Oreochromis niloticus: one gene and its partners. The protein of the gene in region 2 binds, or shares a complex with, the protein of the main gene of each other region. Links are inferred from orthologs where the notes say so. Each region holds a gene or a part of one and is shown on either strand. Other genes may lie near its edges.

The links. The genes of interacting proteins can lie anywhere in the genome.
Region 1: the proteins of pigt (region 2) and gpaa1 are in contact, whole or in part, in a cryo-EM structure (PDB 7W72), measured with the Homo sapiens proteins. The link is inferred for Oreochromis niloticus from reciprocal best matches to the Homo sapiens genes PIGT and GPAA1. Residues at the interface, in NP_057021.2 of Homo sapiens: Gln91, Gly92, Phe93, Arg95, Arg97, Tyr98, Ser108, Phe211, His212, Thr213, Ser214, Asp247, Phe249, Ile250, Arg340, Gln355, Tyr357, Val358, Ser359, Gly360, Tyr361, Gly362, Leu363, Leu371, Tyr373, Lys441, Asp459, Pro460, Asn461, His462; in NP_003792.1 of Homo sapiens: Arg97, Ser98, Val99, Gly100, Glu102, Tyr104, Arg134, Ala135, Pro136, Arg137, Ala138, Ala139, Ser140, Thr141, Glu142, Arg171, Gly172, Gln173, Ile174, Tyr199, His200, Asp201, Val202, Leu212, Gln213, Gly214, Arg215, Ala218, Arg311, Tyr312.
Region 3: the proteins of pigt (region 2) and pigu are in contact, whole or in part, in a cryo-EM structure (PDB 8IMX), measured with the Homo sapiens proteins. The link is inferred for Oreochromis niloticus from reciprocal best matches to the Homo sapiens genes PIGT and PIGU. Residues at the interface, in NP_057021.2 of Homo sapiens: Tyr361, Gly362, Leu363, Gln364, Lys365, Arg394, Leu395, Tyr396, Val397, His398, Tyr416, Pro418, Ala419, Gln420, Asp421, Arg422, Gln445, Glu447, Leu450, Leu451, Lys452, Trp453, Thr454, Pro518, Thr519, Pro520, Asp521, Phe522, Ser523, Met524; in NP_536724.1 of Homo sapiens: Glu30, Lys42, Arg43, Val45, Glu46, Ser49, Leu50, Leu53, Val55, Ser59, Gly60, Ala61, Val62, Pro265, Asp266, Leu267, Pro269, Leu273, Trp275, Tyr276, Phe277, Phe278, Ala279, Glu280, Met281, Phe282, Glu283, Phe289, Phe293, Asn296.

The regions. Positions count from the first base shown.
Region 1 is NC_031982.2:18,036,417-18,047,100, forward strand, and holds gpaa1 (glycosylphosphatidylinositol anchor attachment 1 protein), read right to left. Parts: upstream 4,902-10,684; 5' UTR 4,777-4,901; intron 4,680-4,776; exon of another isoform or gene 4,528-4,679; intron 4,430-4,527; 5' UTR 4,383-4,429; coding exon 4,309-4,382; intron 4,217-4,308; coding exon 4,037-4,216; intron 3,898-4,036; coding exon 3,786-3,897; intron 3,671-3,785; coding exon 3,523-3,670; intron 3,432-3,522; coding exon 3,330-3,431; intron 3,242-3,329; coding exon 3,045-3,241; intron 2,937-3,044; coding exon 2,740-2,936; intron 2,634-2,739; coding exon 2,480-2,633; intron 2,368-2,479; coding exon 2,296-2,367; intron 2,194-2,295; coding exon 1,997-2,193; intron 1,371-1,996; coding exon 1,200-1,370; intron 1,112-1,199; coding exon 868-1,111; 3' UTR 173-867; downstream 1-172. Other genes in the region: exosc4 (exosome complex component RRP41), read right to left, coding at 5,668-6,027, 6,127-6,333, 7,138-7,308; prkacbb (protein kinase, cAMP-dependent, catalytic, beta b), read right to left, coding at 9,387-9,512. UniProt on the Homo sapiens protein: Component of the glycosylphosphatidylinositol-anchor (GPI-anchor) transamidase (GPI-T) complex that catalyzes the formation of the linkage between a proprotein and a GPI-anchor and participates in GPI anchored protein biosynthesis. Binds GPI-anchor.
Region 2 is NC_031984.2:22,914,766-22,925,970, reverse strand, and holds the start of pigt (GPI transamidase component PIG-T), read right to left. Parts: upstream 4,879-11,205; 5' UTR 4,809-4,878; coding exon 4,415-4,808; intron 3,909-4,414; coding exon 3,731-3,908; intron 2,856-3,730; coding exon 2,728-2,855; intron 1,818-2,727; coding exon 1,717-1,817; intron 1,591-1,716; coding exon 1,416-1,590; intron 1,320-1,415; coding exon 1,222-1,319; intron 996-1,221; coding exon 839-995; intron 640-838; coding exon 439-639; intron 1-438. Other genes in the region: phactr3a (phosphatase and actin regulator 3a), read left to right, coding at 5,760-5,862. UniProt on the Homo sapiens protein: Component of the glycosylphosphatidylinositol-anchor (GPI-anchor) transamidase (GPI-T) complex that catalyzes the formation of the linkage between a proprotein and a GPI-anchor and participates in GPI anchored protein biosynthesis.
Region 3 is NC_031970.2:5,251,618-5,261,840, forward strand, and holds the start of pigu (phosphatidylinositol glycan anchor biosynthesis class U protein), read left to right. Parts: upstream 1-5,322; 5' UTR 5,323-5,379; coding exon 5,380-5,509; intron 5,510-6,923; coding exon 6,924-6,988; intron 6,989-7,922; coding exon 7,923-7,982; intron 7,983-8,798; coding exon 8,799-8,861; intron 8,862-9,066; coding exon 9,067-9,176; intron 9,177-9,700; coding exon 9,701-9,801; intron 9,802-10,009; coding exon 10,010-10,107; intron 10,108-10,223. Other genes in the region: psmf1 (proteasome inhibitor PI31 subunit), read right to left, coding at 808-1,005, 1,370-1,452, 2,110-2,262, 3,483-3,611. UniProt on the Homo sapiens protein: Component of the glycosylphosphatidylinositol-anchor (GPI-anchor) transamidase (GPI-T) complex that catalyzes the formation of the linkage between a proprotein and a GPI-anchor and participates in GPI anchored protein biosynthesis.

The DNA of each region.
Region 1 (10,684 bases), on a different chromosome or scaffold from region 2:
ATTGAAAAAAAATCTATTTTTCATCCATGTTTATTATATTACAGATTACAAAGTTGAATAATTCTGTGACACAGTAAATGATATAAAATTCGTGAACACCCCCGTCCTAATGGAACGTTTTTATGTATTTACATTGCCGTAGTAAATAAGCTGTACGTATGTGCAGTGATAATACAGGAAGGTGTCAAAATGTATTTTATTTTTGGCAGCCATAAATATGAAATAAACACAAACCAAAGTTTCAACAAGTATAAAAATATTAGATGTAGTGATGGCTTGTTCCAATGCAGACAAACATTTTAAAAAGAGGCAGACGGCCAAAATGGTTTCTACCATTATATCACTGTTTTATATGTTGGTACCGAGTCAATGTTTAGCATCCTGTATGATTAAAAAAAAAAGAGAGAGAGAGAGCACAGTATTATTCTTTATGTATCCCCCCCAAAAAAACCTTTAGAAGAAATCCCCAAAAAAGTCTTTAATCAAAATCTCTTTTTACACAAATCAACCCAACCGTGACTTTTATAGTTATTGGGAAAAACTCATCCCCTTCATGCACCTATACTGTATAATTCTGAGACTGATGTTAAGTAGAAATCAGTTCATTTTGCTCACTTTCAAATAGTTTTGGTGACTCAGAAATGCCTCTGATGTTTAAAAGACTGAAATACTTCGAGTAAACGTAATAACCAAATGTCCAAACATGGAGTTGGAGTTGCTGCGTCTTTTCCAAGGCAACTACAGTACATTGTTTTTTCCTCTCCAGTGGATTCAACTGATAATTCTTCACATTCACCCAGCAATGACAAACCTGAGAACATTTCGGAGGGCGGTCGCACTCACGAGACTCTTCAGTGGACCTGTGGGCTACTTCCAGAAGAGGATGTTCCAGAAAAGCAGCCAGCATGGATAAACCAGCAAGGCTATGAGTGGGTAGACTAGAGATCCATACAGGGAGTGGTCCAGGATCCCCTGTGAAATGACTGATAGATACAGCAACCACCCATCTTGGAAGCTGACAGGCATTTCTTGCAGCTCTTGAAAGAAAAAGACTGAAAACAGGAGCGTGCAAGCTGGGCTGAGGATGACCAAGATGAACGCTGACAAAACCCTGGAGAGAGAAAAAGAGCAGAACACAGTTTTAGTTCTGTATGGTGATAGGGGGCTATGAAGGCCAAAGTGTCTGTGCGGGTGTTTACTTTGGAACGTGGGGTGTGACAAAGGCAGCTAACGGCACCAGGGTGAGAGCCAGAATGAAGCCTAAGGAGAAGTTGATGAGGGCAGTGCAGCCCAGCAGCACAGCCAGATACAGCACCGCGATGAGCTTCAGCACTCTCCAGCCCTGCTCCGTGCCCTCCCCCGACAGCAGTCTGCAACAAACAACACAACAGCTCACTTAATCTCCCGCGTCAAGTTAGCCATTGTCTCATAATCAACTAAAATTAATGTTTTGACATGTTTACAATTTAAGTTTATGTACTGAACTTTGAGGGGTAATCCACACAGGAAGCTCACTTTAGTTGATCGACTCATTCGGGCCCCACAAATTTTAAGTCGCCGTCACCTTTTTTAACTTAAAGTTACCAAGTGCTACTGACTTTCTGCGGTTTCTGGTCGCTTAAGTGTGTGCACTGATGCATACATAACTCAGTGTGAGAACCCTAAATGATTTGAATTTGTGCTCATACTGAAAACTCAGTTTCATAGTTTGTACATTAATGTTTCGCCCTCCTCGAGTCACTCTACTCTGACGTCAGGAACTGCCGCTCACTGGATATTCTTCTCTCTTTTTCTGACCATTCTCTGTAAACCCTAGAGATGGTTGTGTGGGCAGTTTGTGAAATACTCAGACAAAGCACTTCTTACTATCATCTGATTGATTGATTAAATATTTGTGTTAACAAGCAGTAGGACAGGTGTATCTAATAAAATTACCAATGAAGGCTTACAAGAAAAATCAATTCACACACACGCACACACACACATTATGTAGTACCTGTGTGTGTTATGTGGCAAAGCCAGGCCTGCTGTGTAAATAGCAATTGCTGTCAGGACCACAGCCTCGGTCTCAGACACAGGAAAATGTTCAACAGCAGTCTCCTGAAAACGGATCGGCAGCGCGTACAGAGCAACTCCTGTCAGGTGGCTGATCACCAGAGGAGTCAACACCGACAGCACTCCTGGACTGGACTGCTGGGAGGAAGCAGATTTTTATTAAAGTGTTGATTAACCAGACTTAAGCCAGCAAAATTCAGGTTCAGTTTTGATGAGTTTGTCGTAGCACGTGTGTCTAACCTGATCAATGTCAGCAACTCCATCCTCTGTTGTCGATGGTGGAGTATTGAGTTGAACCCACAAGTCTAACGCCTGTATTACAGTCAAGGAAAAAAAACTCTGAAGGTTGAATGTGTTCCCACCCTGCTCTCAGCTGTTATTAGGTTTCTTTTATACATTTCATTTCATTTTTATTTCAGGATACACGCAGCAGCAGAATAACGGCGAGCAGGCCAAAGGCTGGCATGTAGTATCCAATAGAGACAAAGTGAGAGAGTGACGGCATGAGGTAGAAGAAGTAGGACTGGTGCAGGCGCTCCAGGAGGTTATTCAGCTTACGATACATTCCTTCCAGCAGCCTGCAGGACATTCATTTAGACAAAAAAAAGATCATAAAAGTGTCAAATTACAAGCAGAACATAAAAGCCTTAAATATAAACAAAAGCAGTATACACCATCTCTGACCTGCCGATGGTAGTGGCGTCAGTCTTGTACTGCCGGAAGCTGTTGACACCCTTGATGGTTGCAGCTTCGATGTGGTAGCGCAGAAACAGGCCGTGGTCTCCCCAGGGCCGCCCACTGGCCTGCTTCATCACCATTAGCATCATGGTCTGGACTGCGTGGCTGTACCCCGACACGCTATCCCAATCGTTCCTTTGCAGCTATAAACACATCCACAAAGAAAAGCTACATAACGACTCTTCAACACATAGTCTTAGCACTCTGCTAACCACACACAGAGCAGAGTGCGTCTGTTTATAAGCCTTTACCTTGCCCTGAATGGTGCAAAGAACTCCTATCTTCTGACAGAAGGCATAGAAGAGGTTTGCTAAGTCCAGGTTGGGTAACTGGCCATTGAGACCTTCCAGTACCAGGTCCAAACTGGTGATGACATCACTGCTAAGCTCCAGGGACAGTGCTGCCTGGATTGATCCACCACGGCCTTGTAATGGAGACCACGACATACCTGGATGAACCATTTCAACAGTAAAGTTAACTTAGTTATACATCTCATTCCTTTATTTTACTGTAACTAGATACACGTGTTTGATCACCTGTAGTGTTGGTGTGATGGTAGCCCTCCAACCAGGCCTGCATACCAATCAAATCATGCTCATTGACAAGGAAGATGATGTCCTTGGCCCAGTAAATCTGATCTATTAAAAAAACAACATTCATTAAACCAAGAAAAGCAAACAGCATCATTCAAATTGTGGAGAAGGAGAGGGGAATGGGTGCTGTACTCACTTCTGAAGTACTGAGCCAAGCCGAGAAGCAGTCCCACAGCCTGGTTGTTGCTATCACCTGGGCTGCAGGGAGCACTCAGCACCAGGGCTTCAGTCCGTGGAGCTCTAGGAGCTCGAAGGATACCATATACATTTGTGCCTTTTACAATCTGCCAAGAAGAGGAGACAGCACCAAAGGATAAGTCATTAAATATTCATAAAGATTGTGCAAAAACCAGTCTGTCTCTTGCTGAGAACAAAATCAGTTTTCCACGATAAACTCACATATCTCTCTTTGTTTTCATCAGGGAAGGGTAGTGTGCGAGAGAAGCTCTGAGTAAACACTTCCAGTCCTCGATCCTGCATATTCTTCACGAGCCAGTCCACTGGCATCCCACTGCAGAGACGCAAATAGTCAAACAAGATTACTGTAAAAACGATCAGACTTCTACCGAGACTTGAGTTTCAAATAACAACAAAAAACTAGGAACAAACTGCATAAAGACCCACAAGCACAAGTCTATAGTAAACCTTACCCAACTTTCTTCTTATGGGCTGCAAACTCCCTCCCGGTGGCCAACGCTCTCTCCCCAGCTGGAAAGCGCTCCTCCACCATGGTAGAGCCCATGGCATTCTCTGACATGTATGTCCGCAGAGTGAACGGCTCAAAGGCCAAACCCATGAACCAAGCCACACCGGCAAAGTAGCAGACCACACTAAAACAAGACAGAAGTAATATTAATAGAGAGAGAGAGAGAGAGAGAGCTAAACGAAAGTAGGCAGACGTTTCACACTGACTAAAACTCACCAGATTGGGGCATTGAGGCGAGTCAGCATACTGATCAAAGCCCGTCTTCTGTTTGGGTCAGATAGCAGCCCCATATTATCAGCTGTAACGTTACTCCAAAGCCTGGATTTACTGGCGGATCCTGAAGGAAACACACAGACAATTTAAATATGATTTGTTAACAATCCGTAAGGATAACTACCGCTGAGGAATACACATCGATATGAAGACATTTATGACCATTCGACGCTGCGGTAATCACGCCTTTATATCGAGCTGAGAAATTGCTTCCTGGGATCCATTGTCAGAGCATCTACTGACAGCTGAGGTTAGCCTGGTGCAGCGAGCTAGCAAGCAAGCAGGACGGTTTCGCTGAGTGGTAAATGTTTAAACCCGCTATACGCTGAAAAAGCTTTTTTTTTTTTTTTTTTTTTAAAGAGCTTTAACAAATTTTTTTATTATTTTGCAGAATATATATAAAAAACCCACCTGTGTCCACTGGTCACATCCACCTTCAGAGGTGGGGCTTTATCGCAGAAGCCGCTGCTGGACGTTTTCGATTTCCTTGTTCCTGCGGGAACATTACCGCGGCGCACCGACTTCCGCTCAAGCAAGTTAAAATAAAATAAAGTAAAACAAAATAAAACGACACAAAGAAATATTGAAAATACTGGATGAATAACCCGTTTCATCGTTATTAGGTACATGTTATACGTTATAAGGTACATGTTTAAAACTTCCCTTAAAATTTTTCTTAAATGCTTAAAGCTCGTAGTTTTCATTTAGCTTACCTTAATACAGAGTGACTTTACTCGTGTATTTAGTTTAAAACATAGTTTTTTAAATTATTATTTATTGCTATAAAATGTAGAACATCAATGTGGTAGCTTGTTTCTGCCAGTGGAAATATATATCTCAAAATGTGTGAGCTCAGAAGTAAGTCAACATTTCAAGATACTTAGTAACCAGAAAGGGTTAAAATCTCAAAAATTTTGAGTTGGACAAACAAGCTTCCATCATAGAGAGTAGGGAGCAGGTGGGGAAGATAACCGGGGGTGATGGAGGTGTGTCCTGGAGAGAAGGTCAGTAGAAACAAGAGAGGATACATGTTTCAATGGCTGGGAGGCAGGTGGAGAGGTGAAGCTGCAGGAGCAGACGTCGTATAAGTAGACAAGTTTGAATACCTCACTCACAAATAAACAACCAATAAGGAAACGATGCATGACTAAAATATTTATTATTACATTTATCACATACATACAACAGTATTCAGTGACTGATATAAATGAATTAAACGTTAATATCATTTGTAAATATTTAAAGTCCAATAACACTTTCAAGCTGCACTCGGAGTCCACATGTTCCTGCTGCCGTCCCACGTCACTCTCCAGTGAGCACCGAGGCTTCTTGAAGATGCTGCCTCACCACCTCATCCAGCACTTTGCTCACACCTTTACAAGCAGTCATTGCAGCTTCAATCAGAGTCTCGAGGTGATCCTGATGCAGTCTGGCATCCATCTGCAGCAGAGCGATCTGTCCACCTCGGGGCAGAAGCGCTAAAGCCAATGAGCTCACGCCTCCACTTTCCTCCGCATAGCACAGGTCAGCGAGGGGGGTCTCATCCACAAACCCTACAGTGCAGGCACACACATAGTCCCGCATAGGGATGCCAGCGTCAATCACTGCCAGTGTGGCAGCATTCACGCACACGCTGTAATTCCCTCCGTCTGACTGCAGAATCTGTTGGAAGACGATGGAAACGTGTTTGTGAACAATTACAAAGAAATCTATAATACCTATAATACCTCTCACCAGATGAAGTGTCAGTCCAACACGAACCTTGACATAGATATCAATTTGAGAGCGAGGGTACAGCTGGGTCATCACAGCAGCCTCAAACGTCTGCTTCAGGTGGAGGCTCATCTCAGTGGATTTGCGGTCTCCGTGTGGTCGTCTCTTCCTCTCCGCTGTGCTGAACGTGGCCATGCTATACTGACAGTTGATAACTGCTCGATCATGAAGAGTCCGACTTCGGGAACCTCGCATCTGGAGGAAAACGACACGTAAGAACTGATGTACAGCTTGGACTGGACGTTACTGTGCTTAAACACTGGGACAATGTTAACTGCACTGAACATAAAGAAATGCTGCAATATACACCAACTGGACACTTTTTTTGGTGCACTTGTTCGACGGCTTGTTAACGCAAATATACTTGGAATATAAACGTATCATTTGCACACAGTCAACCTGATTATTGTTGCTGACTGTGTCCATCCCTTTATGACCACATCTTGTGATGTTTGCTTCCAGCAGGATAACACCCCACATCACACACCTCAAATCACCTCAAACAGGTTTCTTGAATATTCTCAAATGACCTCTAGAATCACCATTTCTCATTCCAAAGGCATAACAGGAGATTAATATTATGGATGTGCAACCAACAAATCAGCAGCCACTGTGTGATGCTATTATCTCAATATGGACTAAAAAACTCAAGTGGAAAAGTGTTGTTGAATTCATACCATGGGCCAAGGTGTACCCAATCAAGTGTCTAGAGAATGTATATGTTATCATAACTTTGATTTCAATTAATACTTCATGCTGTTGAGCCTTAAATAAAACTTCCTACACATCTGGTCTGCTTTGAGCAATAATTTAATAATGATACTACACTGTGCAAGTACTGCTACAAGCAAAAGATCTCGCTGAAAATTCCCCTTTCTCAGGTATTTACACTATATTATATCAAAATGTGGCGACTTTATGTCACTGGTGTGATGACCATAATCAAATGCATTTTATTGTTTATCCCCACTAACCCTCCCCTCCATCCGCGGCACTTACTTCGTGGGGACCGTACACCACGGCCAGAGCTTTGGTGTTCCCCTGCTCTAAATACGCAGAGCCGTCGGCCTGAGTGAACACACCCATACGGGCCTGAAGCTTCCGCAGCTCGGTGGCTTTTCTTCCATCTAAACGGTATCCTTGGTCAGACAGCAGTTCCAGGCCCGCCATGTTTCCGTAAACTTCGAATGAACGGAAACGCAGCGTCCCACGTGTCTCCTGCTACACTACATTACCCATACGCCGAGTACCTACGGCAACACCATAGGTCCAAACCGAACGACAACTTCCGGAAAAGAAAAACAGCCAGAGCGGAAACCATGAGAAGCAGAGTTAGTATCCACAATAAACCGTTTTCATTGTGTTTAATACTCTGGTTTCACGTAACTGGTGGCTATGGTCATCTTTTATATACAGTGTTGTGGTCCAAATATGTAGTGATGGATTGTCAGTTACAACAAATACAGAAATATAGTGGTTAGCACTGCTGGCTCACAGCAAGGTCCTGGGTTTAAACCACCAGCTAGACAGGGCCTTTCTCTGATGAGTTCACGTTTCCATAATGCTTGTGTGGTTTCTCTCCAGCTTCCTCACGTGCATTGGTTAACTTGTGATTTTAAATTGACCAAAGGTGTAATGGCTGAATGCGTCTTTGTGTGAGCTCTTTAACAGACTACTGATCTGTCCAGGTAGCACCAAGTCTTTTACCCCTTAGTCACATGGAAAAAGCCCCAGCCCACTTCTAAAAAGCTAACATGTATTCACCTGTATTCAAGTTATGTGTAATTAAGCTGTTCATACCAAGATGCCAAATCAGGAATCCATAGTGCTCACTGTGATACAAACTTGCTTAAAACGTCTAAAATAAAATATCTTCTCTTGAGGCCTCTGGACTTTTGATACTACCCAGATCACACAGTAGGATCCGCAATCCACGATGGAAGAAAGGGTGCAAGAAAATTCCAACACTTTTAAAAATAAAATTTATTAGCATCTCTAATGTGTATAAATAAAAACATATATGAAACAATGCATATACGTATGATGTAATGAGCTTAACAATAACAGGGTTACATGTGATACAAAGGAGCAGTCTTCATTTTAGCCAGTGTATTGTGAGGAAAACTGAAATCAAGCTTTCAAATATGCATACCTATAAGTTGCAAATCTACATTCTTTGACAAGAATGAAATAAAGAAATCTCTTTGGGGCGATAACAGGGAGAATATGGTAAATATCCTTTCTTTTATGCATTCCTGTTCAAAGATTTTAAAACATCTTTCATTGAGTACATTATACTTTTTTTTTTTTTAAAGATTCACTAAATGTTGAGGCGCGGAGCTGCAACACTATTCACACTGACCCTCTCAGCTTTACATAAAAGTTAAAACCCTAAAAGGATTTCTCTTTACTCCCTTTTACCGAGGTCACGTTGTTCCACAGACATGTAATGAGGGTCTTTATAAGCAGGCCCGATGGGGACAATATGATTATAATGTTTGACACAGCGACAAAATATTGTAACATATCAAACTTTACATGTAACTAGCGGACCCAAACAGATCAAACAAACAAGTGGATTTTACATTTTTACTAATGTAACAAGGTTTGTCCTTTTCTGCATGGCTTGCTGTGCCTGGGTCACGATACAAAGGAGACAGTGAACATGGGGGTGAGGGGGGCTCATCTAAGGATTTGGCTCTCTAAGGCTTAAAGCAAAGAATGGAAAGGACCTCTCTTCTTGTGTCACCTAGCGTTTTCCCATTTGGTCATCCTTTAAACAGTCAAAGTTGTCAAATGTCTGGACAGATTTGCACCTAAGACAAAATCTAAATGTGATGCACACTCTTAATGTACATTGCTGACAACTGGAGGGGAATCCCTACAACCCACAATGTGTGTATCATTATTGGCCACTGTCAGTTTTTCCTCATAAATTGAAAAATATCACATTTTTATAGGGGATAACAACATCCAAGACTAACTGCTTCAAAGTAAAAAAAAAAAAAAGGATAAGTACAAAAAAAACAACAAAAAGAAAGAGAAAAGTGATGTGTCTGCTTTAATATGCAGGTGTACGTGACGGTGACAGGTTATCGGCACCCAAGGATCATGGCGACCTCATTCAGCCTTGTGGAATGAAGGGACTATGTAGTAGATCTGAAAAAGATGGTCTCTGCTCCATCCCAAGTCTTCAGAAGAGTGCAAAGATCCCCTTATTTTCCCTGATATATCCATGTTCTCACGTCCTAAAACTCTGCAAACTCCTTCGCGCATTTTTCCGTTAAAGAAACGCGGATTTCCTCCTCCTCGTAGTCGTCGAAGTTGCTCGTGTCCCCCGGGCCTCTACACTTTGGTATGAATGGAGCTTCAACCTGCAGAAGAACAGAAAGACTTGTTTTACTGGGTGGGATTATATTATATTTATGCCTACACTGGCTTGTCAGTAGAGCAGGCAAGACTGTATTGTATTACAGTGAATCTAGACAGCATTTGTTGTCCTGGCAAACCCCAAATGCTGTCAACTTAAACGATGTGCTTGTCAGATAGCTGGTGAAGCCTCTTCCTCTACAATGGAGGCAGTTTTTAATAACTTAACAAAAACTGGCAACTGCAGTTTGTGTAACAATTCACCAGGTGTGCAGATACGAGAGCACACACATCTAAATTTCCCTCTCAAGTCTGCTTTTCATTCCTAAAACTACTTTATTCACATCCTGAGTAGAACAAAGCACAAAAGCATGAATCCTTTCATTAGACATCTTAATCCCATCTTAAAAATCATCCTCAAAGCATCTGATCTGAAGAGCTTCCACACCACAGATACAGACACTTGTGCCTTCATAAATAATCAGACATACACTTTACAAACCAGCTGATGCATAACAAAGAGTTAAACCTTTAAAGCCCTAACCATGAAATCATTCAGATAATTTGTTCATCGAATCTTCTGACAATTTTTGAAATTTATCGTTTAAAAATGTATTGTCCAATTTATTTAGGTTTTATGGGGGGGAAAAAACAAAACAGCAGAATCACAATGATGATGAAAAACTGTATGTATCAAATATGTTACAGGTTAATGGGTACCTCTGGTATCGCTTGTACTTTCATCTTTGTCCCCTCTAATTTAACAGGATTTTGTATAGTTACATTTTAACTAGGGCTGCACAATGACTCAAATTTTAATCTCAATCATATGAGAGTTTGGCTTCCCATAACTGTTCAGCATCACATTTCCTGAAAGCACTTGACTGGGGTGATATACTCCAGATAACAGACCATCGAAACAAAATTTAAATGTCTGGCGCAGCACGACGTGGAGCTTGTCCCTAGAAGCGGATCATCATTCATAGTTTGGAAATACTTTGGATGTAGGGCAAGCAACGTCAGCCAAGTCATATTGTGTCTGTGCTGCAAAGCAGCACAAGTACCTTATTGAAAACAAATCACAAACTGCAGGATAATTAATGCATGAAGGCTAAGGAAAAACAACGCAATGGCTGCTAGCAAGAATTTTCCAACATCAACTCAGACGTTTGTAAAA
Region 2 (11,205 bases):
AAAATAAAGATTTATTGCTTTACCTTTAGATCAGATCTATTCTACTAAATCATGCCTGTTAATCAGGTTGCTGGGAGGTGGCTTCCTGTTGAATTTGTGATATGCTAATGCTAAATAGCGCAAAGGCTAATAAGCTGTTTTGTAGACTGGTTGAGGTTTATATGTGGACCAAACTGTACATGCAGAGGCCACAAAAGACATACATTTTTGATTTAATCAATAAGTCAGCCACCCCATGATATTCTTATTTCCCACAGTGGCCTTAAGTGAAGTTAAGGACATTGTACCATACCAATATCCTGTACTACACTGTGTACTCACTGTACAGGATATTGGTCGTCTTTCAAAGGTAAATTGTTTTTGGGACTATGTAAATTTATTAATCTAATTGCAAATTAACAGTGCACACATCCTTTACTGCTTTCTAAAATTACTCACTGGGCTTGTTGTCCTTTCCCTTGCTCGTCACACTGAGCGTGTGGATGTAGAGACGAAGATACCAAGGCACAGAGTCCAACAGCAGTACAGGGAAAGACCTGTATGGGTGGTTGTTGTACATTAATGTGTGAATCTCTCCTGTCTGCAGCCCGTATCCAGCCACATAACGCTCAGCATGGAGCAAGGGACGCAGCATTTCACCTGAGGAGAGAAAGTCAGAGTGATTTTAATAATTCACTGGGTGTAAAACAAAAGTGACGATAAAAAAAATGGCTTAAAAATTTGTGAAGTGTGCGCATTTTATTATCTCGTTCTTGTTTCATCATGCATTCTTCAAGACAATATTCTGACTATCATAAACAGCTTTATACATTATACAGTCTCTACTCTTCTGGCTCACCCTCATTGGACTTCCATCGAATCAGCAGGTTGAGGGAGCGCACAGAGCCAAAGGTGGTTTCTTGGGTCAGATCGTACACAGAGAAGGTCCGTCTGTCTCCCAGCACCACTGCCTGGCTCAGCAGGGAAGTGGCTGGGCTGAGCTCAAACTGCTCCCCCTGCAAAATAAAAACAGGTTTGTTCCAATCATAACTCTTGCAGAGCTTCAATAATATATTTGACATTATCTATACATATGAGTAGTGCCATTTATCAACAGATAATCCACTAGATCAGCAACACCTCCATGTTCATATAGCTGTCACAATTCGATGTTTTGTATTCTAAGGTTTGAATTATCTAATGATTTAGATTTGCATATTTTATATTAAAGGAAAAGCAAACCTGAGGGTTGTCTGTGATGTCGATATATAGTTTACTGGAGGAGGCCAACGGACAAGCTTCTGTCAGGGTCCGAGAGAACATCTTGAACAAAGACCACTCTGAGGGAACAGACAGCTTGAATTAACAAAAACCAGGGGAATGTTACCAAAACCCAGATATGGGACAGAGAACAAAAGAAACGTGCTTTCACTTACCTCGTTTGGCCTGTCCAGAGTTGTGCAGGTCAAAGACTGAATTCACCGTCTGTCTCAGCTCCCAGGATGTGGTTTTGCACTGCCAGTCCTGACACACGGACCTGATGTGCACTGCCTGGGAATGAAAACTGCTGTGGAAGAGTTTCTCTGACTTCAAAAGGACAGCGAGACCAGCCTGTTTGGAAAATATAGTGAGGAGAAAACTTAGTACGCTAACACATGGCATTGATGTCCCGTGTTTTTTTAGGAAGAAAAATGCACATATAAAGGGAGGGAGAGAGAGCGAGAGAGAGACATTTACCTTGGATCCACATGGCAAGAGTTTCTTCCAGGGTGTCAAATTCTCTGTGCAAACAATTTCTCGTGGGAGGGTGGCATAGCGAAGGAAGCTGTGGTCTGTCACTTTAACACACACACACACACACACAAATATTGCATATGCAGTACAGTGAGTCCTGGGGCATCTGCAGTGCTGTAATGGGTATTCAACTGTCTAACACGCACCTCAGAATAAGACTATCACATGCTCAAATAAAATCTAATATATATATTAAAAAAGAGGCATCCTGAATACAGGTAAAGCACGCATTTTATTGCAAAAGGTTTCCTTAATGCAAACAGGGCCTGTGTAAAAAGTGTTCATCTGTTTACTTATTCCCAAACAAAAAAACAACAAAAAAACAAACAAACAAAAAAAACCACACAACTAAACCAAGTTTCTAACAGGGTGCAGCACACCTGACAAGCCTGGCAATCAAATCACCTGTAAAGCCGACAATTTGCAGTAGCATGAGGTGTAAAACCACTAGAAACAACAGTTTAAAAAACAAAACAAAAACAAAGCACATGTCTAGGTTAGATGAGGAAGAAGGTTACTGCACTAAATCTCTGAGACTCAATATTGAAAGAAATTAGCTACACATGGTCGTTTGGAACAAATGAGAATCTTCCTAGAGGTTGCCAACCTTCCAGAATTCCTCTGAGAGCACTTTGAATACTCATCAGTGAGGTTAACATTCAAGCTACCACAGTGTTTGTGACTCTGAGAGACACAAGATAAAAATGACAGACTGATCTCCAGTAATCTGAAGCACTTTGTGGCAGCTGATGCTGCTAAAGTTGTTTGAATCATAACTGACCAGTGATGGAACAGGGTGACAAGAGGATTACTGCAAGAGGATTTTCTCTTGCAGTAATTCTGTATAATAATGTGATATTAGACAGTTCAATGGTGGCTGATGACACAATTAGGTTTTGCAGAGGTTCATTACTACAGATGATACTCTAAATGCAAAAAGGAGACTGACTGTACCGTTGCCTATTCCCAGGGGTTTGAAGGAGGCACTGGGCTGAACAGTGTTGGTGGAGTCAATGAAGTTCAGTGATGCACAGAAGATGCCTGACAAAACATTGGTTAGCTCCTTCCATGTAGCATCGACACTGGGAAAGGCAGAAAAAAGGCATGTGGAAATGTTAAAATGATTTAGCAAAGGTAGGTTAGGCAGCAACTACATAAAAAACAAACTGTAGCCAAAACTTGTGGGAGTAGAATTTCTGGCAGTTTTATGTTTAAAATCAATACAGCAAACCATTACGATACTTTGTATAGTGATATTGTATCAATACAGGGTCACCAAATATTGATACTCTGGGAATATAACGAACAAGAGGGTTCATCACATGCACCACCATCCTGAGATGATGTTAGCTGAGCAAACTTGCATTAAATTCAATTAAATTCACATTTAATTGATGTACCATCTGAAACAGATTGCATGTAATTCGATCCCAGACTGATAACAGATTATATCCCTCTTAATGCAACATTTATGACCGGTTTTACTGAGACTGCTGGTCTCATTTAGCAGCAAAAAAACTACCTGAACTGTCTGCTAGTTCGGCATAAGCTTGAGAAATATCACTGTCATTATAAGAACTGAAGGAAAAAACACAAAAACAAAAAACAGCAAGGACGGTTATGGATGAGCAAAACTGGTAGGTTGGTGGTTCAATCCTCTACTGGTCTAGTCTGCATGTCAAAGTATCCTTGGTCCACATACTGAACCCCCAGTTGCCATTGATGCATCCATTGGAGTGTCATGTGTGCATGTTAGGTTAAAAATACTAGGTTCAGGAAAAATGTTTACAAAAGCAGGTTTATGAATGTGTTTGTGAATATGTGAATGAGGCTCATAGTAAGAAGGGGCTTTAAATGCTCAGAGTAGAAAAACACCATATAAGTACCGGTCTGGGGTTTGTTTGTTTTTTTGCCCCGTTATTAATCCACACATTCATTTCATCTCTGCTGTACTCACTCTGTCACTGAGTCTTGGAACCAGACCCAGAGCTCAGCTCCAGGTGGCGATGGTATAAAGGGTTGCCCCCACTGCATGGTCCTCCAGTAACCTTGTGTGAAAGAGATGTGCAGCTCTCTGACCGAGAATTTGGAGATGACCTGGCCCAGAGACTTGGGAAAGAGCCGGTAGTGGGACACTGAGAAATGTAACAACGTGGTTTAGAGTTAGAAAGAGCAAACATTGTTGTAATTTTGAGAACAGGAGGAAGAAAATGTTATTTAATTAATGTGGGGTGTATTAAACTCGTATAATATTGCTAATAATGAATAAACACTCCTGAAACCAACTAAACAGGAACAGACGCAGATTTTAACAGGAAGTGGACATCAATAAATCAACAAAAATGTGGTAATTTATAAGAGAAGGTCAACTGACGGAAAATACAGATGCCATATCACGTGGTAATCTTTTTAATGTTTCGATCTGACAGATTATAGGAGCATCGAGAAGCAAAATATGAACCCTCATTTCGAAGCATTTAAATGTTTGTCATTTTATACATTATAGAGCTTTTCTGTCCGCTGTTCGACAGACTCAAGTATATTCATAAGTTACTTCTATAAGAAGATAAAACATTTACATGTGTGTATTTTCTTATTCGTGTCTAACAGAGTGTTATCTCCCTGCTAGCAGTTAGCTTACCTTTGTTTTCTCTCATGAAGTCTGTGTCCCACAGGGTGCGGAACTGGAAGCTGGCATAAATATCTCCAGAGTGCAGAGGTCTGATGACCAGCTCTTCTTGGAAGTCGTCTTTAGGCTGTGGTACCGACGAAGGTACCACTGTTTCAGGGGCAGAAGTGCCCTGCGTGTCGGCTGCAGCATCAACCGTAGCGGCTTCTTTAACCTCGGTTGCTTCCCACCGTCTCCCCTCCACCGCGGGCTGGTCAGCCGTTTGTTCCGCTGTTTGTGCATTATGGTCAGCCCCACCGTGGTGGTCATTAACTGGCGTCGTTTCATGAATGTCTGCGACAACAAACACGGACAAACTAAAAAGAATAAACAGCCAAGACGAGCAGCTGCACCTGTGAGCAGCCATTTTTCTCGAGGCGGTGGTTGACTTCCGCGTTAACGCGTCATGAGTAGAACCAGCCAATGAGCTGCTTCCATATGGAGTCATCCTTGGCACTGGCACGAGGCTGCTTTGTTTTAAGCCTAAATATTTTCTTTAAAAAAATTATAAATACATGCTAACATGGAATATGTTTCTGTTTTATTTTAAGCAAATTCTAAAATTAAAAAAATAATACATTTTAGAAACTATTAGTTTCATGTGAAGGCGGTATGGAAGCGGTATGACAAATTATATTTTATATGTAGATTACATAAATTATATTATATCCATATGAAGACAATAAATGAATCCATACATAAATGTAGACTATAGTAAATGCACATAATATGTCATATGTCAATTTGTGAATTGTAACCAATCAACCAATTAGAGGCCTGAAAATTCTCAATTAATTTAGCCTGTCAAACGTCTGCTCATCTTAATCTTTCATTTTACAGCATTACCAATGCTGCTTGCAAATATATTAAACCTTATACACCCTGAATAAATGGTGCGAAGGGCTACTGGTGTCTTGCCAAAACCCATAAAAAAGCTACATTAATAATTAATAAAGGCCATAAATTTAGGTTATCGGTGTGCGAATAAGCATTGTGCTCTGTTGAATATTTGGTCGCGTTGCTGGACAGGGATGGGCATCATCAACCCGTTGGCATCATCGGGGGCAAATCACCCCTCCCTCATCCACACATCATCGCGCACACAGCCCAGACTCACACGCACACGCACACACACACACACACGCACATACACAAACACACACGGAATTTCGGCTCAGCCATGGCTCCCTGTTAGATGCTCAAAGCGGCTGTTGTCAGAGCGAATTATATCTACTCTCGCTCGCTGCTTTCCTCCTGACCTTGCCTGCCTCCGGTTGGGTTTTTAATATTTTATTTAGGATTCCTGCGCTGCCTCCCCATGGCTACATCGGATGGACTAGACGGCTGTCTGCAGCGAGGCAGATCTCAAAGTGACCCGAACATACTCACCGAACCGGGCATCGAGTTGGCTCACGGCACAGGTAAGATAGGCGTTATTTTGTCTACATTCATCCGCTCCATAGGCGAGTTTTTATTTTTATTTTATTTTATTTTTTTAAGGTTGCCGCTTCTTTGGCGTTGCAGACCTCCTTGTTTGCCTAGCGGGATGTCAGAACACTAAGGCACAATTAGCGCATATGCTCCCAACACTGGATGTAGAATATGACTGTAACGCTGAATCGTGGAGCTGCATGTTGAAAACGAATGCCATCTCAGCGTCTGTGAATGGCTGCATTCCCCACCAGATTTGCGCCTTACGAAGACGCTTGTAGCCCTTGTGGCTGATATGGATGCGAGTAGTATTTGGGAATCCGCGTGTTGGCCGTTTAATATGATATTACCGTGTGCAACTTTTACTCTATTGCCTATCTATTGCCTTCCACGCTATCCCAGCCCCTTTATAGTGAACCCAGGCTATTTAGCATCACAAAATCTGCATGCATGTGTGGTCCATGATCCAAGCTTAACGAATGTTGGTTTCCTGTCTGATCCACTGCTATAGCGTTGTTATTAAGAGAGATCCATGGAGGGATTCATGTTTTGACGTGTTGCATTAAAAACAAAAGAAAAAAAGCACATGCTTATCTTATTGAAGGCCTATGCCTAGAGCTCTGTCCCTGTATTGACAGCACTGACATCCCCACCCCATACCGAACTGATCACTGCTGTGATCAATAGCCGACAATCCACGTGATATAGGCTATAGGTGGAAATATACCCAATTTATCATCACAGCCTTGTACTGGTACAATCGGACTGGCCAGTTATTGATCCTTCAGGTGATCTTTCCAATATGGAGTCCTTGTTTGTTTCTCTGTGGGTTAGTCATCTAATGTTACTCATCTTTCTGCTTTATGGAAGAGGATAATGAATTAAACTTTCATTAATGACAGAACACCAGGGAGCACTCATGCCGTGCTCTCCTCTGGTGAGCTCCTGGAAGTGAATTTGGTTGTTGTTGTGCTGGAAGCACTAGTAGCCTATGCATTCACCTAAAATACACTGATTTCTTTTCTTTCTTTTTTTTTTTACGTAAGTGAGACTATTTATGGTCATACTGTGTGGGTTTGGAAAGAGTCATTGCTTACACCCACACATGGCGAGTTTTACGCACATGAATGCTTGACTGAATGATTCAGAAAAAAAAAGCAGAGTAGTTCACCTTTCAACTTATCACTCACGAGACTTGCTTTTTCACATTTCCAAAATCACACCTGCCTGCACTCATCAGCTGGCCATAGCACGTTTATAATGGAGCCTTGCTGAATTCAACCCTCCCAGGGATGATTTAATTCACACATAGGTGAATGTGATAATGTCACACTGGGTCTTTGACACACCTGAATAAACAACGCAGCAGTTTGGCGGATCAGCCAGGCCAGTGATGAGAGCTAAAGCTGTCAGGGAACGCCGAACGTCAGCCTCCATCCCTGGAATATGCACAACTGCATCACAGTTTCAGACACGAGCATGCTACATGAAAGACGGAGTAAATACAGTTGTAACAGCAAGGACAATACCGGTGTCTGGTGGCCCAAAGTACACAGCATTACCCACCCCTTCTCTGCGCGATCACCACTGCACTAATGTCTGGGGCACTAAGTAATCCTTTGGCAAAGACTGCCTTTTTTTTCTCCTCCCAATACAGTAGATCTCGCAGCTGCAGAGGCTTACAATGTGTTCATACACTTACTCAATACTGGGAGGAGAGTCAATAGAGACAACAGTTACAGCTGACCATCTCAGAAAACCAGAGCAGTGTTTCCTTTTTGAATGCGGCTGCAGTAATACTACAATACAGACTCGCCCTCTCAAAGAAGGGCAAGTCGATAGGTCTCATTGCAAGTGTCCAACAATGCAAATCCTACTTTCTTTCAATAAAGCGCACAGAGTGACATTGCATTGCTCTGTTGGGAGTTTATCTAAATTGAGGCAACCTCTTTGAGCTGCAGATTTACAAGAATGATTCAAAGTTACAGGAACATAAGTCCAGCAACAGGAGCAGCAGTATAAACACGTTTAATCAGTTCATTTGGACAAGGAGCCCTTAGATTCCCCTGCTAATAAAATGTCACTTTCACTCAAAGTTCCACTTAGTCATTGCAGAATGTCGACCAAGGTAATGGTGTGGAGAGGACACCTTGACGCTTTGCGGACAGGGAGCTTGTCCAAGCAGGGTTATCCCTATGGCTTCGTTCCTCAAAATAATTCTTTTCCCCTGTAGAAAGCTGCAAAGCTGGAGAAACAGTGGAGATGAACAGCACAGAAGCTGGAAGTTTGAGAAGAGTTGAATCACACAAATATCAGCACAAGCAGATTTATGGTGCACATAAATCTGCAGTTAGAGACTATTTCTATTATTGATTAAGTTTCACTTTTTTATTACTTTTTTTATTACAAACAATACAATGCACATTACAGTTTCCCTAAGACAAAGTAGTTATCTCCAGACTGTTAAATTCAGTTCACAAAGTTACAAACACAGAAAAGAAGAATATCCTCCACATGAAGAAATCGCTTCATATATCCACAGTAAATTCTAAGAATAAAAAAAATATATTCAGATGTTTTAAATCTTATAAATAATTTCTCTGTTTATTTGACATTTCATTAATTAGTTGCAGCAATTTACAAAGATGGCCAACTGCTCCTTCACTAAACACCATTCTTTGGCCAAAGACTGTAATAATTCATGGTGAAATCACTTTCACTTGCAACCCCTCCCCACTATATACCACATTGCTCAAGACCACTTCTGGTCTCCGCTCACATGACGACTTATCCAATAAGTACCTGCTGATCTGTGTTTTTTTCTCTCGTTTTGTTTTATCTTTCTCTCCTGGTCTTACTGGTACAAGAATAATCCTCTCAGATCTATCAAAAAAAAGAACAACTGAAGAATTCAGGTAAAAGGCGAGGACCTGCCTAATGAACAAGACGATATGTCAAACCCTGCGGAAGCTGATATTGAGCCATGACAATGACTCACCCCAAACCCGAGCGCTGTGTCGTACATAATCCCTCTTATATTCAGGGCTTGGTGAGCAAATATGGGAAATTATGAGTCAGCAGGTCTTATATAATGTTCCCGCAATTAACACAACATTGTTTGAAAGTAATGTAAACAAAAAGGTATTAGTGCCACAGGAATTCCTTACATAACAATGGTTTAAGACCCAGTTTCTGATTTCAGCGAGTTGCAGCGGAATAAAGAAACTGTAATTACATAACGAACAGAGATATATATATATGACCCTACCTGAAGAAATAGCCCTGCTTCAATTAAAAAAAAAGGAACTTTGACATTTTCAGGTAAAGAAAGGGTTAAAGATGCAAGAATCTGGACTCCTTAGAAGTTTAAAAGGCATTCTTAAAAGGAGACAACCCAGTGCTGGCAGGCGGCACATTTGAAGAATGTTTTTCGTCCACCTGTAATGAGGCCGTCAAGTATCTTGATGGTGTGGAAGAGGGAGATAAAGAAATGCTGGATGTGGCACAGCATTTGGTGTGGCCTTCCACTGGCACTGGCTCTAAACAGATAATTACACTGCATAAAGTAACTATCTAGCTATCAATCCAAACTACTGGCGGTTCATCAAGTTGTTGGGACGAGTTGTTGGGCTTGCCCGTGTTTACAGGTTTTGTGATGAGCGAAACTCCACCAGTTTCTGGGGCAGTTTTATAATTATTTTCTATTCCGAGTAATTAACTGTAAATTAAACTGTTTGAAATTGCAGTTTTCATTTAAGACAGATTAAGAGGCAGGCGCTCAGCGGTATGTGATGCCATTACAGCCCCACATTCTGTCTTCCTGTGAGTCTATTTTTTTCCCCTCCGAGTGATTGTCAACATCCTCAAGAGTGCAGAGAAAAGGGTGTGAAGCTGTTGTATTCTGCCGTGGGTCATACGTGTTAAGTGGTTAAAACAAAAGAGAGAGCGACGGTGACCGTGAAGTGGATACAAGTGAGAAAACAGAAAACGATCCCTCTGTTACAGTTTAGCCCATGACACCATTCTGTCTGTGCTTAGAAAGGTCGCCAGTATGCAAAACACGACCTCCAGTTTTATTCATGTGGTTGGTTTTTTGTGGAGACTTTTAATTTAAACAGGACATAAACTTCATCATGCACATGCAGCTCAATATTGGTCTCTCATTTTTGAATTTTGTTTGTTTATTTGTTTGTTTTTTAGCTGCGGTCAAGTTGAAAACTGTAAAACCCGAGGATCTATCAAGCTACATGCACACGTATGGCTGACATAAACAAGTTCAAGGGATCTGGATGGACAACGAGAACATATTGTATATAGATTTGCTCTTTGTTTAGAACCTGCAACTTTATCAAACTCAGCCAGCAAAGCTGTAATTCACGCTGAAGTCACGACTCATTCATCACGGTGAGCCTTAAGGGACTGTGAGTCAGTCAAGGCCACCTGTTAGTAGTAGCCACTGGAGAGCTATTCATTCTTCCCTCCACGATGCACAGAGGTCCCTTCAGAGGCCAGGAGAAAAAGTACATCTAATGTCAACTTGAGAGGAGCCTTCTGGTTGCCATAGAAGGTATTTGTCATATTCAGAAAAATGTGAATCTCAATAAATATTGAGTCAGACTTTCACCCAGGAGCCAGGGATGCATGTCCCCTTAGTGGCCACATGTCGTATATATGCAGTTTGATTCAGCTGCACTTTGGGAAACATGTTAAAATAGACCTTTTCCCACTATTGTCACAGTAACATGCTAACATGCCAAGTTCTCGAGTTTTCTGGCAGAAGGCCCTCAAGGCTAACTTATCCTTTGTGTATAAAATGTTCAGACATTTCTGATTGTCAAACCTAATGGATCATGTCCACTGTTAATGTGATGAACTACTCTGCTAGGGGCACTTGTGTGAACTTGAGCGTAACTGGCTTTTTCATCCTCTATAAATTACGGAACAAGTTAGTCATAGGCAACTGCAACATGGCAAATACAAGTGAAATGAGCTCAGGGGAAAGGGTCAAGCATCATTTGGCTGTACAAAAAAACCCGCCGCTCTAAAAGAAAAGTTAACACCCACAATTTTGTTTTAAAAACGATAAAAAAGGAAGGATTTGTCTTGAGTAAAATGAAAACTAATAAACAGTAACAAGGACTGCTTCAGAAATCAACAAGAATCACCAGATTCAAGTCACTTCATAGAGAAAAAAGCACGCAGACAGAAATTCAAAGAATGAGACAAGAATGAGACATTAGATTTTCTAAGAAACATCTACAGAATGATAGCGGTTCTTGAGATCCATCTTTGTCAAATAATAATTCAACCGACATGGATCTAATGGCAGCAAA
Region 3 (10,223 bases), on a different chromosome or scaffold from region 2:
TAGGTCCCTGAACATGAGTAATACACACACACACACACACACACACACACACACACACACACACACACACACTGCCTGAGCTCTGTCCTCATTTACCAACAGATGCTCTGTCTAGACTTATTACAAGCCACAATCTCAGCACATCCAGAGGTGTGTGTGTGTGTGTGTGTGTATCAAATGCCAAAATGTCAGTCATAAATATTAATAACACGAGGCTCTGATGCCATGAAAATGTTAAGGATTACAACTTGTTGGTTGTTCATTGATTTTCTGTCATGTAGTTCTTTCCAAGTCTGCAAAGTGCAAACAAATCTAAAAACGTTCAAGGTTAAACTGGACTTTTAGACTGTTCTAATTTATTAAGTGAGTGGGCCATGCACATTAATGCACACAGAACAGGAAAATCTGAACAGTCCAGACTGCCAATGAATAGACTAAACTATATTCAGTCTGAGTAACACTAGAAATACCACAAATATAAGGTTAAAACTTCATGAATGTACATAAGATTAATTACTTGATCCTATGCTGGTGGGAGAACCTCATTAATGAGCACAAGTAGGTGGATATAGAAAAATTAGCAAGTAAGGCATTCTTTATTATCTCTATTTGACTCGTAGTTTCAGGCAGTATCCTCTTTTTTCCACAAATGCAAAAGAGAGAGAAACCAGGAAAATTACAAATATGTAACTGCGTGTCACACGTGACAATATTTGCCTCTAAAATGTACATATTTAATGATAAGTTTATGAATAAATCTGAGTTTTGTGGTAAAGTTTTGCATGCACAGTTTATATCATCACCAACCAGTGAGGGTGTGTCCCCTGGCGAGGATTCCTGCTGGGAATGCGGAGGGGGTCACTGTCCTCTCCTCTTCTTCTCTGCTCCTCTTCTTCCTCATCCCGCCGACTCTTCCTCTCTGCTCTCTGTCCTGTCGGTCTGTCCTGGGGGGGCAGCAGCTGAGTCTTCACCTTCTCCGACAAACTGTCTGCATCTTTGAACACACTGCAGAGAAGAGAGATGACTTTATTTATTTTCCAGCTCTATATTTTTATTTTCTGACTACCAGAGTAGCTCAGCATGATTCACAATGCAAAATAATCTTTAGTTATCAAACAAACTGCCCTTCAAGGCCAAACTCCCTTTCAGACAACCTTTTTATAATAGGCTTTCTCCAACAAATAAAAGATTTGAACAACAAGTCGGTGGGGTCAATCTGAGACAACCGTATAAGGCAGGCTGAGGACAAGGCATATTTTATTATTATTTATACAGGATCCAAAATAGTAACACAACAATTAAAATAATCATAACAACATAAGTCAATAGAATAAAAGCTTAATAAAGTAGAGCAGCTCAATAAAATAACCTGTCAAATGTGTGTAGCTGGTCAGTGTTCACGTGGTCGTTGATGTTCACCGTTAAGTCTGACACCTGCTGCGTGCTGGAGTTCTACACACACACACACACACACACACACACACACACACACACACGATCCATTAAAAGGATAGATTAACATGTAGAATAATATCTCAACAAACCAGCAAATAGTAAACTCAACCTAAATCATATTTTCTTAGTTTACACAACTGTGTGTCAGATCTTTGCATAGATCTACATTTCTCCAGTCTTACGGTGCAGTAATACGACCTGTATATGAATGACAAAAACTAAAACTAGCACTGAACTAAACACTAAACTAATCTAAACATTTTAATCGATACAAACTCGACTGGACCGAAAAAAAAATACAAATTTAAAAGTAAAGTGTTTGCGACCTCACCCCTGGCTGCAGTGATGTCTGCTCTGAACAGTAAGATTCAAATTTAGAAAATCAGACTTGATCCCTTTTAAGGCTTTTCATGGATCCCTACATCAGGACTGAAATGCAGGATAAACTGCACAGTCTATGTCAGTTCTCCAATGAAAAAATAATCCAGAGGAAAAATTCTTCTTCTTAAGGGGAGTTATGCAAAGTTTCAGGTTTCTGTTGTCATTAATAGAGAGAAAACCCCCACACACTACCAACATTTTTAAGGCACTATTTTAAATTGCCATTATCTAGAAAACTAATGAGACCAGTCCTACAAATGTTTATGTGCTTACCATCAGATTGAAGATCAAGGTGGAATCAACAGTGATTGCCTTGAGGAGCATTTGGGTGTCACTGTTGTTGGCTTTGTATCGCAGACTGTATAGCTCTTTGTTGTTACTCCAGTCAGCAGGCAGCAGCTCGGACTTCTTATCACTGCTGCGGGCCTGGAGGAAGAAGGTCACAGACGCCGTGAAGACAGATAAAAACCTAAAAGCAGCAGCAGAAACCTGCTTTTTCTTTTCACAATATTTGTTATCAGTATTTGGCCAGTTCACTGCAAATAACAAAACAATACTTAAAATATACAGCAAGAAATATGTGCTATTATTAGATATGACATATACTAATCTCATCACAAAGGTAAGATTGTTGTAAAAAATTGTAAATAAACTGCAGATTCTTGTGTTGCTGCAGTAAAACAGACAAAAACTAGCTAACATAAACAAGATCAACTCTATAATTAAAATGTGACAAAACAAAATTGGTCAATAACGTAAAAATTACACATAATAAAATAAAAAACTAATGTGGAAAAAGTAAATATAACAACAATAATGATACACATAAAAATCCAGTAGAGTGAGTTCATTTTTTAGGTGCATAACAATTTGTCATTATTTATATCTAAAGAAAAAAAAACACCTTTTCACCAAATCATCATGTTCAAAATAAAGAAAAATGTTTCATTTTATAAGTGGGTCACTTACTCTTCCTGTTTACTAAATGGCAGGTGTCATTCCAGAGTGATTTTATATAAAACAATCACAGAGAGATGCCGAACGCTTCCCTTTTCACGTTAAATCCCATTATAAATGCTTCATTTAAAAAAAAAAAAAAAATACTACTGATTACCTGTTGATTTCTGTAAAATGAACATGGGGAGAGGATGGAGGATAGCAAGGCTGCACACTAACACGAATCTGTGTCATAAACTCCCGTGGTGTTTCAGGATGACTGCCCCCAGTGGGTTAGCCAGCTAAAGATGACATGACAGTTTTGGTAAATTGTCGCTCTTAAACCAGATGCCGTCAAACTGAATATCAGCCATGACAGCTGGATTAAAGAAACCGAAAACGCATTTTTCACACTTTTAAATTCTTCGCGTTAACGTCGGCTTCACACAGGAGGTGATGCTTGTTTATGAAGCTATAGCTAATCTACGTTGAATATTACATACAGAACTCCACTGCAAAAACCGACATTTTAAGCATTTACTGGACATTACGGTCCGAAAAACATCGAAAACCACATATAGAGAATCTTTTTGCTAATATTTAATTTGTATTTCTCAATTTGGCGTAAGAATGATGAAAAAAGAAAATATTATCTTCTCCATTATGTGGGATAATTTAACACAAGATTTAGCTAAAATAAGCGAACTCACCTCGTCTCCTGAGCCGATGCACCTGTATCCGTTCTTTACCAGCTCCCAGTGAACAAAACACACAACGGCGTCCTGCGGGCAGGTTATCTTACCTGCGACACAGGTGTACAACACCTCCAAGCCAGCCATGTTTTCCTTCAATCTGCCAACATCGGTACAGTTTCAGGCAAAAGAAATGAAAACGAAAGTCTGGCCAGCAGCTTCACTGAGTCAAGCTGCAGTTCGGTGCCAAGCAACAGGAACCATTTCCGCTTCGCGGCTTTTCAGTTTAAAAGCACCAGAGAGCTGACCAAACGGTACCTATCTGCAAATAAAAATATCCAGTGATATTATGTGAGGTATTAACTTTTTTCATTGCTCTTTATTTCTATTTCATTTATTATTTCTAGCTTCAATTACGTTTCATTTTGATTCGCTCTCAGATTAGGTTTTCTTATTCAGTTTAGTTTTTCTTAGTTTCTGGGTTAGTTTGACTATAATGTGGGGGTATTTGTAAGAGGGAAATTTAGCCGAAGTAATAAAATACACACTCAACACTTCATGTCATGTAGACATGAAGTGTTGCGTTTCTCAGCCTTACAAAACATGTGCACCAATGCACCAAACTAAAATATTTTTCTCGTACCTGGGTTTATTTTTTATTTTGTTTGGGTTAACTGTAATAATGTTGAAATCTTCCCTACTTTAATTCATTACATCTTAATAGAGCCTATACCTCTGTATAACTGTTAATCTAAAGTAGGATTTCTCAAACCCGCGGGCCGGGGGCCACTTGTGACCCACGTCACATCTACTTTGGGCCCATATGTTGACATGAAGAATTATAATGCAATTTGGCCCTTGAACGTATTTATTTATATATATTTATATATTTAAAAATGATTTAATATGAAGGCAACATGAACAGAGAGTACAAACATGTTGAGGGATTGGTTTTGTTGGTTTAGTGAGAGAGTTATTTAACAATTTTCACTAGCAGTCAAAAACCAATGTGTACACTGATGTCTGCATTTTTATTTTGTCAAATATGAACAAAATTATGGCAGAAGTGCTGCCATGTGTCTGGCCAGAAAGAGAGTACCAATTTGTTTATTTGGTAGTTCAATGAAAGGCTTCAGTTAATGAAGAGTGAGGGAAAAAATACATTCACGTTTGCAGTTTTGCCTTTTTATACAATATTTGAAATAAAAAAAACCAAACGAACAAATTAACACTACATTTTCTAAGATATTTGTGGGTGTTTTCTTGTTTGTTAGTTTTTGTACCACTTGAAAACTAAAGTGGCCCTCGGATGAGATGACAGTGCCAGCAGTGGCCCACAGCTCATTTAAGTTTGAGATCTTTGACCCCAAAATGTCAGTTGATGAATTTTCAGATGGCATTTTTATGCTTGCTATTGTATTCTTTGTGTGAAGCTATTTTAATGAACCCTAACCTGATCAGAAAAAAGTAAATTTATGTTTTTTAACAGAGTCAATTTTGTTTTTGAAATAACCGCACGGTTAGCGGAAGCGTAGTGGCTCACTGTGTACGGCTTTTTGTTTTGATCCAACACAAATAGTCTCCGGATGAAAACAAGTATAGGACAACAATTGTTCCGCTTTGTGTGTTTGTCCTGTCTGTCAGAGTGTGTTTCACATGTAAAATGAATCCTCAGCTGACATCAAGCAAACATGTAAAAAGATAACACATGCACCCATTATCTGTATGTCTATTTTTTTGATATTCATATTTCTATATAAATTTTTCTTTAATTTCCAGCATTTGCTTTAGAGTACATTTATTTATTTATTTATTTATTTATCTGGACTTGTGGTTCCTTCTCTCCTTCCTACACATTTGGAGACTTCATTTCCCGTCGTGCACCTCGCAGGGCGGACAGCGCTTCCTTGTCAAGATGGCGGCTCCCTTGACTCTGCTGTTGATTGTGGCCGTTACGATCCGTGCCGCTCTGTTCCGGTCCAGTTTGGCGGAGCTGATTGCAGAGAGGGTGGAGGTGGTGTCGCCGATAACCGCCTGGAAGAGAGGTAAGCGCGGGTCCAGCGGCGGTTTGGAGCCGCTGCGGTCGGTTCACGTCCGGGTCCCCTCACCTCCCTCTCATCGGTGCTGTTATCCGGTAACTCGGTCAAACCGGTTCAGCTGCGAAAATCAGCAGCTGAGATTCAAATTCAGAAAGCTTGATGATGTTTTACTGACATTAAGCTAACAGCGGATACTTTTTACTTTCTGTAGGGGAAGATTTAAACAAGTGTTTCTTTGTTATTTCCAATGAATGGAGCTCAGTGGTTGTTTCTCTGTCAAACATCCATCGACCACTAGTAGTAATGACGACCAGAGTCTCTGCCAGCGGCTGAACAAAGATCTGCACAGTCTATAGTATTTGTGGACCCCTTTAAATCCTCCTGTGATCCACATTAGTTTCCACGGGGTCATTTGCGCATAGTAACGTAGACGTTACACCTGTAAAACATCTGGCTGACGTGTGTATAATGTTACATCAGCAAGTGTTTAAAAATTCATTTTCACAGCTACAGCCAATTTAAAATCACCACTAACAGGCACATGGCCCCTGCCTTCATGACCTTCTTGCTGTGAGGTGATAGCGCTAACAGTTGCACCACTGTGCAGACACCCTAATTTGGACAAAAGTATACAAACAGGCTAAAATATATATATACACCCCCATGAATAATTGGTTAATTGACCCTTAGCAACTGACTACCTCTTCTGTAATCGTTGAGTTATGAGGGCTCAAAGTGATGGAGAAAATGCACATACCCCCACCCCATGTGCTTCGATGGCCAGTAAATATCTGAAAATAATTAATGTACAAAAAAAATCAACTGGTTCACAGTGGGAGGCACTCGCTGATTTGACTTTATTATTTGACATATTTATATCAGCTTTCCATTAGTTACCACAGACAAAGGTTTTGTTTTAGATGAATTTGTGAAATGTTAGTGGACAGTGTTTAAGTTTCCATTTAGCATATGATGACACAGTACCTGACAGGAGCCAGAGGTGCAGGTTTGCAGACAATCTGAGCTTTTTCTGTAAAACAGAAAACATGACCAACATGCTGTGAGACTCACACAGAAACATTTCATGCATTTTTCATTAGGCAGTTGTAACTGGAAGCTGTGGAACTGCTACTTTCAAGAGGAGGCATTCAAAGATAACAGCCCAGTGCTGGTAAAAAATAATAAAAGTTGGAGATTTTAACATCATTTATGATTTTGGCTTCTAATGATAGTGGAATAGAGTGAAAATGGTTTAAAATGTAGCTTCACTCTCGAAATGTCAGACCAAATTCACCAAGTTGAAGTTCCATAAATGCAAAAATAAACATTTTCCATAGTCACCAAAATAATTGTGGTTGTGATTTTTATTGTAATCAAGCAGTCTTAATAAAACTGTTTCTCTGTTGCTGTTTCTCTGCAGTTGTTGAAGGTTTGGCTCTGCTTGATTTGGGAGTTTCACCATATTCTGGAGATGTTTTCCATGAGGTGAATCCCTCTCTCTCACTCACACACACACACACACACACACCTATTACAAAGTGTGTGTGAACATTGAAGGTTATATTTGTTACATGAACCTGAAAATAATCAGAAAATTAGAAGGAGATGGTCTGGAAAACAAAGACGAAACATTCCAGATTCTGCTCATTTCGTGGTGAACCATCACAGTGGAAGGGAACTTTAACTTCTTTCTACAAAACGTCAGATTTCCATTGAAGCAGCATTCAGGTAACACCCAGGTGAAAACTTTGCTTACTGAGCAGCATTGTAATAGTGAGAACTGCATCATCAGAACAAAGTGAAAGTGTCAGAGTCAGATCTTCTGAGGGAGGAGGGGCTTCCTCAGAGTCGGGCCATGGCTGGACCGAAGATTTCTAAGAGGGGAGGGCACGATACTCTAAAACATCCAGAGCGAGATCGGGGTGCCCAAAAGTCAACGCATCAAACTTTGTTCACAGAGATAGAAAATTAACTTCAACAAACACAAAATGTATTAAATAAAGAACACAAGAGTCAATCAGCAAAAGAAGGCTGCCCGTTGGTAGACTCGGAGGATGAGTAGCATCTGTAAACCACCTCTCGAATGTCACATTTCACCAACAAGGTGCCGGTGCTCAGTCTAAAACTAGTTTCATGCATTTCCACCAAAAAGACCTTTAGCTGTTTCTCAGAAAGCACTGAAGTTGCTCTGCTCGGGTGCCGTGTTGGTGGAAAACGGACAATAAATGTCTTATTTAATTATTTAGACATGCTCGGATGTTTCAGTTGCTCCTGGTTCTTGATTTTTCCATTACATGCTTGGACCTCATAGATGGTGTATTTCTACAACTGAGATCTGAGTCAGCAGAAAATCCACAAATGAGGCATGTTGATGTTTAGATGTTCATGTTGAATTCTCCTTCTGCTCTGATCCTTTCAGACTCCTCTCATCATCTACATGTTTCACTTTTTGGTGGACTACGCAGAGATCACATTTATGGTGAGTCTGAATAAAAACATCATTTTGAAGCATTTTGTAGTGGAGGCAGTCTCATTACTGGAGAGGGACGGCTCAGGTGGAGCGGACTTGTGCAGAGGATGGATAGGGAATATGCGTGTTGGACAAGAGCTGCCAGGCCACAGAGAAGATTCATAGATGTAGTGAAGGAGGATGTTAGGGATCTGGTGACATGGAGGCAGATGATTGTGACAACCCCTAAAGAAGAAGGTGGTTAAAATCTGAAATGTGATCAAATTGATTGTAAAGCCTCCCACAAACCTTGTTGAGGCAGATGTTGATGAGAGCTGGTTCTCCGAGTACAACCCAGAACCTGAACGGCAGGTTTCAGTCTCAGTCCACAGTTTTGAAGTCCAAAGGCATCAGCAGAGACACCAGGAGCGTGCTTGTCCTCTCATGTTCGATGCCCACAGGATTATACAGGAATTCATAAACCAGGATTCATCGTTAATGCAAAGGTTTAATGTGATTCCCAGTAACATATGAGAGACCAGATTCAGCCCTGAATAGAGTGTCTCCAGCTTCATGGCCACACTAATACGATCTTCACTTATCATGAACCGTGTTCACCACATTAACATTCTCGCTACTTTCCATAAAATAGAGATTTTTGGGTGGAGGGCACAGTGGAGGACACCCAGCTCTTATCACAGAGGACCAGGTACAGGGTCAGAACAGATTTCCCTCAGAGCTTCTTAAAAATAGCAGACATCAGAGAAGGAGTGAGACCACCTTGAAGTGGAAATGCAGCAAATGTTAAATCAGGCATATCTCATTTTACCGTTTCTGTCTCGTCAGCTGGCCGACGTGATCACCGCTGTGGCTCTTTACATGGCAGTGAAGGAGTACAACAAACAAGTGGTAAGAACACATCACAATACACAGTTTAAATACTTAAAAATGTGTAGAGAAGTAGGGTTGGCCTAAATTCCCAAACCCCGTCTCTAATAATGAACAGGAGTAACTTCAGCTCACGTATTCTGTGTGAGACCTTTGTGTTTGGGGCTTTGTGTGTCTGCATCTCTTTGTTTTTGATATATTTGACTTGTCTTTGATGCTGTTTCAGTTCAGAAAGCAGAAGTTTGCTTTGGAGGCCGACCGCTACCCCATGGACTCTCTGGAGCTCATCAGAAGCCCCAAAGAAATGTACTACATCCCTCTGAAAGTAGCCATGTTGTAAGTACCATCACTCATACTGCATTCTCTCCTGCCAGATTCAGCTTCTTAAATTTCATCTTCTTACCCTGAATAACACAAAGGTGTCACCACTCAGGCTCTTCCAGCTGCTTAGTTTATTATTTATTCTTGAGGCGACTGTTGTTGTGATTTGATGCTGTATAAATAAAATTGAACTGAATTCTGGGTCTAAAATGAATTCATATAGAATTAATGACCATATTATAAAATAATGATCATTTCCGGTTGATAAGAATTACGTTTTAGCTTCTCAACGTCAACATTCACAACTTTAAAACTTTAAAATAGCTGTGAAGAAAAGCTTCATCCAGACGACTGGTAAAATTTCACTATCACTTTGTGGAGGAGAACGCGTCGCCTTCTCCGTGACGCTCTGAGGTGAAGTTTGAGAAAATCCAGAGAAAACGGACAACACACTGTATCTCCTGAAAATTCTCCTTTTTGTTTTCAGTTTGTTTTATTTACTTATTTAATTACTAATAATTGTTCTTCTTTTCTCACAGTTACCTGCTGAACCCGTTCACCATCTTATCCTGTGTCGCCAAGTCGACCTGTGGCCTGAACAACGCCGTCCTCGCCCTCTTCTTCCTCTCCACAATAAAAGGTACGCTTCAGATCTTCGTCTCATATTTGTGTCCGAGCAGGAAGTGACTGTTTCCCGTTGATCTCATTCGTTGGCTCTGCTGAAGCTTTTTTTTAATTACATCAGAGGAACATGAATCACTTTGTTTTTATTTAAATGTCGTTTTTAACAAGTTTGCTGTGGTTTCATCAGATTCTAAAAAAAAATTGCCTTCTCTTTGTTTTTTCAGGAAATGTCTTACTGAGTGCCATATTCCTTTGCTTGGCCACGTATCAGTCCATCTATCCCATCACCCTGTGCGCTCCTGCCATGCTGTATTTTATGCAGGTCTGTCGTCTATGAATGGAAGCAGATATTTCATTTTTTTAAATGTTTTACTTTCTCTCTGCTCTCATTTTTCTTTTATCTTTTCCTTTGTTTGATTGTTTCTGTTCTTTCGAGCA